3 linked regions of the Arabidopsis thaliana genome follow. The protein of the gene in region 1 interacts with the protein of each later gene in a pairwise test. Each region holds a gene or a part of one and is shown in the gene's direction. Other genes may lie near its edges. The genes, in order: AT3G25805, AT3G14860 and AT5G59740.

Region 1 (3,756 bases):
CACACATAATGGTTTAATTCTTTTATTAATTTTTTTTTTTTTTCTAAACAACCAGAATCATACTTCAATCAATTCAAAAACTCTTTTCAATTTACTCATTTCAGAACTATGTTATCCTATTGTAAAAAATATAGTTCTAATGTATACTCAATAAGCCGTATGAAGGAAAATTATAGGCTTTATTCTCAAAATCACGCTATTGTATTTTTAAATTTGATAAAATTCATCAAAAAAAATTTAACAATATAGTCTACGCTACTGTGTTTTATATTTGATAAAATTCATCAAAAATTTTAGCAAAAATGAAAAGCAAACAAATAAAAACTAACTAACTTACTTTCATCCCAATGTAGTAGAAATTCATGACATATGAAGAATCATTAAAGACCTTTTAGATCCCTTTGAATTTGGCAGGAATTCGAAGCCACATCGTACATTTGATATCTCCAATATATCACGAATCGTCTAGTTTTTTTGTGGATTAGTTTGGATATGTCTTGTTAGGATATGTATTATCTTTTCCTTTTTCAATAAACCCTACTGAATCTAGGGTTATGATTCCACAAAAAGATCTATAAGTTTTTTCTACTCCAAAGACAATTGGTTTTGGCTCATGGGATTCTTCCCATTAGAGAGTATCATATGTATTCTGAAGTGAGTAAACAACTTTAGAAGATGGCAAACAATTTTAATGTATTGAAAAACAATATTTAATCGCTTTAACCATTTTTTGTTTCTCCAAACGAGTTTTTATTTTTGCGCTAACTAATAAAAACTTATTTAGATGAACAATGAATCTTAATATTGCTATATTAAAAACCATTAAAAGAATACATACGTATAAAAGAAATATCTCTTATATTATAAGCATGTGATATTTTTGTACAGACCATAACAACATAAATAATTATATAGAATCCCAAGAAATTGGATTACACGTATACACATTACATACAACAGAAATTTAAATGTATCTCGATACATTTTTATTTTTTTAAAAGGTATAATTTCTTCAATAATTTACATATAGAGAAATAAGTCAGTTCTCTTTGTATTTGGTTCTTTCTTGATTGAATGAATACAAGTATTTTGCACACAAAAAAAAAAGAGAAATAACGTAGAAGAAATAAATTATGTTTTGGTCCACACTTAAATTATATGATAAGATATTCTAATGAGATTAGAAAACTATCTACATGAATAAATCATACGTTCCACAATAATTAAATGAAAATAAATAATAAAATTAACCAAAATAGTTGAAATTGAATCTTGCCTACATGATTCAATGTTCTTTTAATTTTGAATTTATTTATTTATTTAACTAAGCCTCTAGATATAAAGCAAAGTTATATAACCATGATTTTGGGGTTGTTAAAAGAAGTTGACGAAAATTGAGGAATGTCGAATAATAATGATGAAAAAGATATTTGGCTTAGCACCCATAATAATGATGTGACTATCCAATTTCAGTGTCTCACCGAAACGGCGTTTTATAAGGCCGTGGGCCAATGGCCTGTTTAAAGCCAACTGTAATGTGTAATTCGATTCAATTAAAACGACGTCGTTGCTTTCAAATTTAGATAACCAATACGCTGCCGTTTTAGCAAGTCTCTCTCAGATAAATAAAAAAAATTCTCCGACTAAACGGTGGATAATGCAGTGAAGGGACGACGATGATTCTGATAACCTCACCGACGTTGACATATCTCCGTCACCGTCTCCACAGTTCCCAAATCAAATCGCCACAAATTCGCCGCCATTTTCTTCGGAGTAGAGAAATCTCCACAGTCGATCGCTGCTACAATCCATGGCAGTCTACGAATCGTTTCAAATTACGAACACGAGACAGTTCCTTCTTATGCTGTGCTCGCCGGAAACCGGAGACGGCGACGGTAGAGGTTGAAGATGATTCTATAAGGAGAATTGTTCGGTATCTTCTATGGACTAGTGAAGCTGTGTATATACTATGGCTCTTTCTTCTCCCTTACGCTCCTGTGAGTGATAATACCTTCAAAAATTCGTATTCATAGTTCCTGAGATTGAGACATTGATATATCTGTGTGAATGTTTCTAAGGTTTATGTAGAATCACCACATTGATTAATCTTGAAAGTATTTAGGATAATTTTAGGAATTGAGAACCATTTCAATTTCTCTGCTTGAATGTTTTGAGAATCTAGTAGGTTTGTTCTTTTTGAATCATACTCATAGTTCCTGATATAGCCATAGTTCTATGTGGCTACTAATTTATCTATGGATTATGTGAATGTTTGGAAGGTTTATGTAGCATCACATTGATGAATCTTCAAAAGTAATTTGGATTTTGGATGATTTTAGGAATGAGAACTTTTTCAATTTCTCTGCTTGAATGCTTTGAGAATCGAATAGTTTTGTTGTTATCTTCAACTTATTACTGAGATTTGCTCTTCTCTCTATAGATTATCATGATATGTGCTTGTGGTTAGCATTATCTTAGATTGTGTAATCTTGTATGGTTGCTTAATTAGAAAATAATCTCTATGATCAACAGGGAGATCCAGTTTGGGCAATTAGTTCAGAGACAGTGAATTCTCTTTTGGGACTTTCTCTGAATTTCTTCTTTGTCTTGCCTCTTACAAACGCCGGTATGTTCAGCCTTAAGATATATCGATTTCGTTTACCTGTTTGATCTTTGATGAAAGTTTCTTGCTTATGGACTTTGTGACAGAACAGCTGGTATTCACTTCTTACAAGCTCCTGTTCTTCACCCGGTTTGTACCTTTGAGCTGAACAGGTTTTTGTGTATTAGTGAAAGTAAATCGTTCTGAAATTGTTTTTTTTTTTTTAAATTCAACAGATGGCTGAAGGGTTATTCAACTTTGTAATAGCTTGGACACTCATGTTTGCTCCATTGCTATACACAGACCGAAAGAGAAATCGATACAAAAGCTCTCTTGACGTCTTATGGAGTCTCATGATGTTCCTTACAAACAGTAAATACAACTTTAGTTTTTATTTAAGAAGTTCAGTTTCTCTGGAAAGCAACCCTCTAAACTAGATTATTGGTTCTGTTGATCTCATGTTGCAAACAGCGTTTCTAATCCCATACATGGCTTTACGGCTCAATGACGCTGACCCAGATGATAAACCAAGCAAAAGGTCTCAACTTGGTGAAGTGATGACCAAAGGTGCACCAATAGTTGGTCTGACCGGAGCTACGGTGTGTCTGATATCAGCATTGTGGTCTCTCTACGGTCGAGCAGATGGTGATTTCGGTGGAATCATGGACAGATGGCAGTATCTGATTGGTTATTTGGGATCGGAGAGACTAGCTTACGCGTTTATATGGGATATATGTCTGTACACAATCTTTCAGCCATGGTTGATTGGAGAGAACCTGCAAAATGTGAAGAAGAACAAGATTGAATTGGTGAAGTATCTAAGGTTTGTTCCTGTTTTTGGTTTACTTGCATATCATTTGTTTCTCAATCTCGAAGATGAATCAATTTAATTTGTTAGTATACACACATATTGTCGTTGTACTTATAACAAATGTAATTATATTATGGAAATTTTGTTATGTCATTTTTAGAAAATTCTATCATTTGTATCGGTAATGTTTTTTCCACATTTGAATTTATATTTCACGAAGGAATAGTGAAAACTCTATAAAATTGGTAAATTGCAAGAAATGAATCGCAAAAGTAAAGTCCTGACCGAAACAGCATAAACGTCGTGGGCCAAAAGGCCCGTTAAAGCCCATTTAAGAAGGGTA
Region 2 (3,756 bases), 4.4 Mb from region 1:
ATCTATGTTTTGTTTGTTGTTCTCACTTCATCGTAGAGTGAATTTGAAGAAGCAAACTGGCGAAATGACAAACCAACCTCTGCTTAAACCCTGCAGATCAAATCAATCATATGAAATTATAAATCACTACCTACCAAAGGAAAAAGGATAAACACAGAACCAATATGAGACTAATATTCAAGCTGATGTGAATGCTTGACCATGGCATTATTGGTATGAATGATGGGATTGTAAGAGCATTCACAAGTCACAATGATATATTCATTTGATTGAAAATGAGAATATAAGAAACTGCAGAATAACAATGAAGACGAAATCATTCAGAAGAACAAAAGATGATAATTAATAAATATTGATTAGCTAACCAACCTGATCGATGTAAAAACACTCTCCCGGGCAAACCTCTCGGCGTTTTGCCTCTAAATTGATTCTTAACGACAATAAAATGGGTAACATACAAAAGATACAGATTCCTTCACGGTTTCAAGACAAGTCCGGAGCTCGAGAATGAGAAGAGGGGAAAAAGGCTTTAGAGTGACTGAGAGAGAGAGTCGTAGGAGAGGAGAAGAGAGTAATAAATGACAGAGAAGGGTGAGCCTAGGGAAGTTCAAAGGACATAGATTTACGTAAATACCCTCATGGTAAAGGGACATTTACACCGACATTGCTACTTTACTCCAAGAAACGTCGAAAAGGAAGTAGGGGTGTTCTCGGTATGTCAGGGAATAAGATGTTCAGACAGAACGCAAAATCACACGGTTTGGGTTGGGAATGAAACTACTTGGAAGCTGTTATTGCGTACGTACGCGAAGACCGGTCCGTCCGGTATGAGTGAGATAGATGAAAGACACGTGGCAAATTAAAAAAAAAGTGTAACCATTTCCCACATTCTCCTGAAAACGCTTTCTATTTGTTAACCCTTCTTTAGTTCCGTATTTAACTGCCTTGATGTTTATTTAATCAAACGAGAATTATGTAAGTTCATTCTCTATAAGTTCTTTTGTTTTTAAATAAGACTCTTAAATGTTGAACAAAAATAAAATAAGACTCTTAAATTATTTGTCAAGTTGCATAAAAGACAGCTGAATAGCAGTATTAGCTTTCACTAAATACGTGAAGCAACTCAATAAGTACAGTTGTCCTATCGATGAAAGCAAAATCAAGATTGAAAATTGCTAAGTCCAAAGTTTGAATCATCTTATAAGCAATAAGTAAACCAAATTAGTCTTGGTGGGCTTTAAATGCAAACTTTATAAATATAGAAATCGTGAGAATACATCATTCCAGTTATATTTGTACGAGTTATGAATACAATGCACTGATGCAGTGATGGAGTGGCATATGCATGTAATTTTATCAGTTAGTACAAAGTGAGTTAATTGTCCGTGTTTAACGGAAAGTAAAAAGCTTGAGAGACAATTCGATTTCAATTTCAAACCAAGAATTGAGAGCTATGAGCCTATGAGAGTATGGATTTGATAAAAAGGATTTTCTCTATTCACGACTATTCTTGATTTTTTTATTATGTATTAACGACTATTCACATACTATAAAGTTGCATATAATTTATTTACCTTATTTTGAAACAGACAAGAAAAAGGTATTGATGCGATTGGACATGTCGTAGAAGTGCTTCTGATCTGATCGGCTTTTTTTTTTTTGTTTCTTTACTTTAGTTTTGTCTTTTAGTATTCAAGACTTCTAGTGGCCCAGTGGCAGTGAGTATAAAGGATTTAGCACTCACTAAATGGGCGTATTGAAAGGTAAGAACCTTAATGGGCCTATTATAAGGCCCATAAAAAACACGAGTAACCCAATAAGGTAACTTTATGTTCGTTACACAATTTCTTTTCTTACTTTCAAAAAAGAAAAGAAAAAAATCTGTTGTCATCTGCAAATTGGTTTCATTCTATCAGTTGGTGTTGTGGTGTGTTGGAAGATGTGAATCGCCTCTACTAGGGTTCGATTCCAACATAAAATTGTACTTTTGGAAGATACAGAGAAAGAGATGGGCAAATCTCAGATTCTTCTAAACGCTGAGAGCTTTACTTGTTCTTCTTTCAATACTTTCTTCACTTTATGGATCTTCTTTACTCTTCACTCCTTTCCATTTCAAGCTCAAGCTGCTCCTTCTGGTAACTTTACCATACTTAACTTCGTTGCTTTGATCTATCTGCTTCACTCACTTTCTTAGTGAATTCACTCTTCAATTTCTGGTTTTTTATGTCAATTGTTGTAAATTGAATTTAGGTTCCTTGATTAAGCACATGTCATCGGTTCTCAAGTGGACTACTGGATCATCCTCTAAATTATCCCAATCAGGTAAATTCTCAATTAGTACGACTGAATTTGGTCGCCTTGATTGTTTGTTGTTCATAAACTTGGTTTTGATGTTTCTTTCTCTAACTGCTACTTGTGGTGCAGACACTAATGTTCTTCAGTTTGAGAATGGTTACTTGGTCGAAACTGTTGTGGAAGGAAACGATATTGGTGTTGTTCCTTACAAGATTCGAGTTTCTGATGATGGAGAACTTTATGCTGTTGATGAACTTAATAGCAACATCATGAAAATCACTCCTCCCTTGTCTCAGTGTAAAACTTCGTTCTCCACAAGTTCTCTTCTTTATGACTTAGTTTTTGCAGTTTTAAGTACATCCAATCATATACACATGCCATCGCAGATTATACTTGATACACTAACGATACTACTGTGATCTTTTGATGATCTTGGCTTGTAGCATTACATTTTCTATTTTACTTCAATATTCTGGTTCTTTATACTATATATGAAACATTTGATTTTCTCTTTCTTTTTTAGTGTTGGAGGTTTTTATGACTTTGTTTATAATCTATGTACTTGTGGGCAGACAGCAGGGGAAGATTGGTGGCTGGATCTTTTCAAGGAAAAACAGGGCATGCAGATGGAAAACCGAGTGAGGCTCGTTTTAACCATCCGAGAGGCGTTACAATGGATGACAAAGGGAACGTTTATGTCGCTGATACTTTGAATCTCGCCATCCGAAAGATTGGTGATTCAGGTATACAAGTTTTCTATAGGTTTTACTTACATCAGCACTCAAAAACTGAAATGGTTGCTTGTTGTTGAAAAATATAATTAAACTGAGAAGAATTGTGTTCTTAAGAGTCTGAAACATTTTTGTTACAGGTGTTACTACGATAGCTGGGGGAAAATCAAATATAGCTGGGTATAGAGATGGGCCAAGTGAGGATGCAAAGTTCTCAAATGATTTTGATGTCGTATATGTTCGGCCTACCTGCTCGTTGCTGGTCATCGATAGAGGAAATGCGGCTCTTCGCCAAATCTCTCTCAGTGAAGAGGACTGTGACTATCAAGATGATAGCTCAATCTCTCTAACTGGTAAGAAGTCAAAAACACCTCTTCCCACTACATAGATCATTTTGCATACACTCTGTTTAGGGGTGGATTTGAGAGTGTTAACAGAAGATCATTGCGTGCTTACATTCGGTGCAGATATACTCTTGGTTATTGGTGCTGTTCTCATTGGTTATGCTACTTGTATGCTCCAGCAGGGCTTTGGAAATTCTTTCTTCTCAAAGACGGTAAATTTCTATCTCTTCTCTTTCGTGCCTTTTCGCTTCTCATCAACCATATGCTACAAACAACAACAATTTCTGTTTTATCTTACAGCAGGTAGGATCAGAAACCAGCTATGAAGAAGAGCATCCAGGAAAAGAGAAACTCTCCCGGCCTGTCCATGAGAAAACAATAACCAA
Region 3 (3,756 bases), on another chromosome or scaffold:
GGCCTGAACAGTGTCGTGTCCTTCGTCCTGCAAGTTATAAGCTCTAAGCTTGTGACCAAGGCCAATGCCTCTTCCTTCGTGGCCACGGAGATACACAACAACTCCTCTTCCCTCTTTCTCGATTAACTCCATGGCTAAGTCCAATTGGTTTCCACAGTCACACCGTGCTGAGCCAAAAATGTCTCCTGTCAAGCACTCTGAATGCACTCGCACCAGAATGTCCTCACCATTTCCAACGTTTCCCTGGTCACGATTCAGACAGAAACAAACACAAGACTGGTCTTAAATTCGAATATCCAGTTGGTTGTTCTGAGATGACACCAATGCACATTGATCAAGATTTAGAAGTAAGTCGTGATTTTGTACCTTAACGAGGGCGATATTTTCGGTTCCATCGAGTTTAGATCGATAACAATAAGCTTGGAAAAGACCCCATTTGGTAGGCAAACGAGACACTGTGATTCTCTCAACAAGCTTATCTCGCTTTCTTCGATATCTACAAGTATATAAAACTTCAGATAATTACTTGTATCCAGTGTTTTCTATCTTTTCAATACATGGTCTTCTTCTTCTCTAACCTGATTAAATCAGTCAACGATACAATGGGGATATCATGTTCCGTAGCAAGCTTTTTCATATACGGCAGTGAAGCCATAGACCCATCTTCTTGATCAAGAATAGCTGAAAGAACAGAGAGGGGACGTAAACCAGCCAATATCATTAGATCCACTGAAGCTTCGGTGTGACCAGCTCTCCTTAAAACTCCACCATCTCTGTACTTGAGAGGGAATACATGACCAGGCCTCCTGAAATCATCTGGTTTAGCATCGAGAGACGAAAGTGCAAGAACCGTCATCGCCCTGTCTGAAGCTGATACTCCAGTTGATGTTCCAGATTTTGCATCCTGTAACCAAGAACTTTATCAGAACATAGACACAATGAAACCCTCTTGAGAACTATATCCAAATCGTTACCACAGTGATGGTGAAAGTTGGAGCAGAGGAATCTTCGTCTTCCATTTCAGGTGACATAAGTGTAAGGCTTAATCTTTCAAGGTTTTCTTTCTTCATACCAACTGAGACAATACCTGAACCATTCTTAATCAGAAAAGCTATGTCTTTTGGACTCGTAAGAGTTGCAGCCATGATCAGATTCCCTTCAACATCTCCGGTTTCATCGTCAACAACGATCACAAACTGAAACATAAGTGACAATTTTTTAGTAAGACCAAATCTATACAACTGTAAAAACAGATCATCATAATCACTGGTCTTCAAGAAAATCGTCAAAGAACAAACCTTTCCTTTGCGTAGAGCTTGAAGAGCAAGTTCAATAGAGGAATAACCTTGAGTAGGACAATCTGGATCACCCTCTGCGTCACTCACGAAGAAATCATCAGTCTCAGGCGTGATTTCCGCGTCAACTGTCTCAAACGAAGCAGAATCAAACAACGACCCGTCGGTTTTCCTAACAGGATTTTCATCGAACACATTGCGATCACTATTCTCACTAGCCTTGATCTCCCAACTTGAACGACTAACCAATCTCCAGCAAGTATTAGCAAACCTAGGAGAACTATACAAGCCATTGATGAAGCTGTGAGCGAAAAAGATTCGAGGATGATATAAAGCAGAATCCATCATCGACGTAATGAAACATATATCTCTCTGCTCGTACGATTCGCTGCTTCTCGTCTCTTTGGAGTTGTTCTCAACACAAAACCAAAATCTGAAAATTTTAAAATTTCAGACATATTTTTAAGGTTGGAAGGGAAAAAAATCACGACCACGAGTTTAGGATTTATCTTCTTTCGTCGTCATCGTACTAACTTAACTGGTGTTTCTCATGGGCCACACATGTTGATCATGAAGAACTATCACATAAACGGAAACCCTCTGGGTCCTTTAGAAGGTTTTGACCTTTGTCTTATTGCTGACGTGGCCTATACTTGGAAAACATCAACGAACACAACTTTAAAAAGGGCGGAAATAAAGGAATTGAGAGAAAGAGGACGGTGGAGGAGCAAATCGGATCCAGACGGAGAAGTCGCCGGAGAACGGTTTACAAAAGGAGCGTGAGAGAGAGACAGAGACAATTTTTCTCCGATCTCACCGGATCAGCCGTTGTACTCTTACCAATCCGTCGTCTAGCTTGAAATCTCCGAGCTCAAAGGTGTGTTACAGTCACTAGTCACTGTGATTTCTCACGCTTACATTACAAAATCGGAGCTTGTATTGTGTGATTAGATTTGGTTCATTAATGGTGGGTTTTGTGTTCAGAGGTGGATGGTCCATGGCTGAGCCAGAATTAGTAAACGGAGGAGTGAAAGAGAACAAATTATGGAAAGGTGTATTCGCAGTTTCCGGCATTATGTCTACTCTTGTAATCTACGGTGTTCTTCAGGTCTGTCTTGTTTTCATGATACCATTCTCTGTGAAATGTCTCCCCTTTCTTACAAATTTCTTTTGTTTTGTGATTGTGGTTTTGTAGGAGAAGATAATGAGAGTTCCTTATGGAGTGAACAAGGAGTTTTTTAAGCACTCTTTGTTTCTTGTTTTCTGCAATCGGCTTACTACATCAGCTGTCTCTGCTGGTGCTTTACTGGTAAACTAGCTAAAAACACCAACTTTGTGTTTATACTTATTTGCTAAAGTTTTATGTAACCCTTTTTGGCTTTTCTTTTTTAATTTGTAGGCAAGCAAGAAAGTTTTGGATCCTGTAGCTCCGGTTTATAAATATTGCCTTATATCAGTGACTAACATCTTAACTACAACATGTCAATATGAGGTTGGATTTTTATTTTAATGTATGAACTTTGTATGCCTACTTTTTGCTGCTTATTGCTTTTTGCTATCTGTAATGCCTCCAGGCTCTCAAGTATGTGAGCTTCCCTGTCCAAACTCTTGCAAAGTGTGCCAAAATGATACCAGTAATGGTAAGTTTTTCAGAGCTGGAAACTCATGCCTTTGAGTTTAGCATCCACCATTCTTATATTTGTGCTCTATATAGGTGTGGGGAACGCTCATTATGCAGAAGAAGTATAAGGGCTTTGACTATTTAGTGGCTTTTCTGGTGACCCTTGGCTGCTCTGTCTTTATTCTCTTTCCGGTATAAACCTCTATACCCAATCAAAAGCTTCGGTTAGTTAGACTATCATATTTACCATGAACATCATGTTTGTTTATGTAAACCTGATTTGTAGGCAGGAGATGATGTTAGTCCATACAATAAGGGAAGGGAAAATACTGTTTGGGGTGTTTCCCTTATGGCTGGTTATCTTGGGTATGTGTATCCGTGTTACTTGTTTTATTGTTTATGCGAATATACTGAAATTTTTGTTGTCTTGTTTTAAAACAAGGAATATTGATTGTGTATATGGTAATTGGCTCACTAACAGGTTTGACGGCTTTACAAGTACATTCCAAGACAAGCTCTTTAAAGGATATAACATGGAGATACATAACCAAATATTCTACACAACACTTTGTTCTTGTGTTTTGAGTTTCACTGGTGAGAATCTTATTTGTTTCTGGAACCTATACTGTTAGAGTCGCATCATTTTCTGTCACTGTCATTTTCTATGGACATTGGACCATTAATCGTTTTCCCTGGTGGGTGGCTGGTCCTAAGAAAATTCTTTAGGAAGAAGACTTTTCTCTTCTTTTTTTCTCTTTATTTGTTTACTTTAGTTATATATCTGAGTTCAGTTTATTTTGACTGTTAGACCTCTGGAATGAAAATTGATTCAATCTTCAG

The links.
Region 2: the proteins of AT3G25805 (region 1) and AT3G14860 interact in a protein complementation assay, tested with the Arabidopsis thaliana proteins (one large-scale study listed by BioGRID).
Region 3: the proteins of AT3G25805 (region 1) and AT5G59740 interact in a protein complementation assay, tested with the Arabidopsis thaliana proteins (one large-scale study listed by BioGRID).

The regions. Positions count from the first base shown.
Region 1 is NC_003074.8:9,426,090-9,429,845, reverse strand, and holds AT3G25805 (uncharacterized protein), read left to right. Parts: upstream 1-1,568; 5' UTR 1,569-1,676; coding exon 1,677-1,997; intron 1,998-2,532; coding exon 2,533-2,626; intron 2,627-2,714; coding exon 2,715-2,752; intron 2,753-2,838; coding exon 2,839-2,974; intron 2,975-3,073; coding exon 3,074-3,492; 3' UTR 3,493-3,608; downstream 3,609-3,756.
Region 2 is NC_003074.8:4,999,147-5,002,902, reverse strand, and holds the start of AT3G14860 (NHL domain-containing protein), read left to right. Parts: upstream 1-1,856; 5' UTR 1,857-2,008; coding exon 2,009-2,135; intron 2,136-2,250; coding exon 2,251-2,322; intron 2,323-2,424; coding exon 2,425-2,592; intron 2,593-2,867; coding exon 2,868-3,038; intron 3,039-3,166; coding exon 3,167-3,379; intron 3,380-3,493; coding exon 3,494-3,582; intron 3,583-3,670; coding exon 3,671-3,756.
Region 3 is NC_003076.8:24,071,284-24,075,039, reverse strand, and holds the start of AT5G59740 (UDP-N-acetylglucosamine (UAA) transporter family), read left to right. Parts: upstream 1-1,953; 5' UTR 1,954-2,172; intron 2,173-2,279; 5' UTR 2,280-2,292; coding exon 2,293-2,403; intron 2,404-2,490; coding exon 2,491-2,604; intron 2,605-2,694; coding exon 2,695-2,787; intron 2,788-2,869; coding exon 2,870-2,935; intron 2,936-3,009; coding exon 3,010-3,108; intron 3,109-3,202; coding exon 3,203-3,282; intron 3,283-3,397; coding exon 3,398-3,510; intron 3,511-3,756. Other genes in the region: RIBA3 (monofunctional riboflavin biosynthesis protein RIBA 3), read right to left, coding at 1-243, 367-496, 579-904, 975-1,643. UniProt on the Arabidopsis thaliana protein: Sugar transporter involved in the transport of nucleotide-sugars from cytoplasm into the Golgi and/or the endoplasmic reticulum.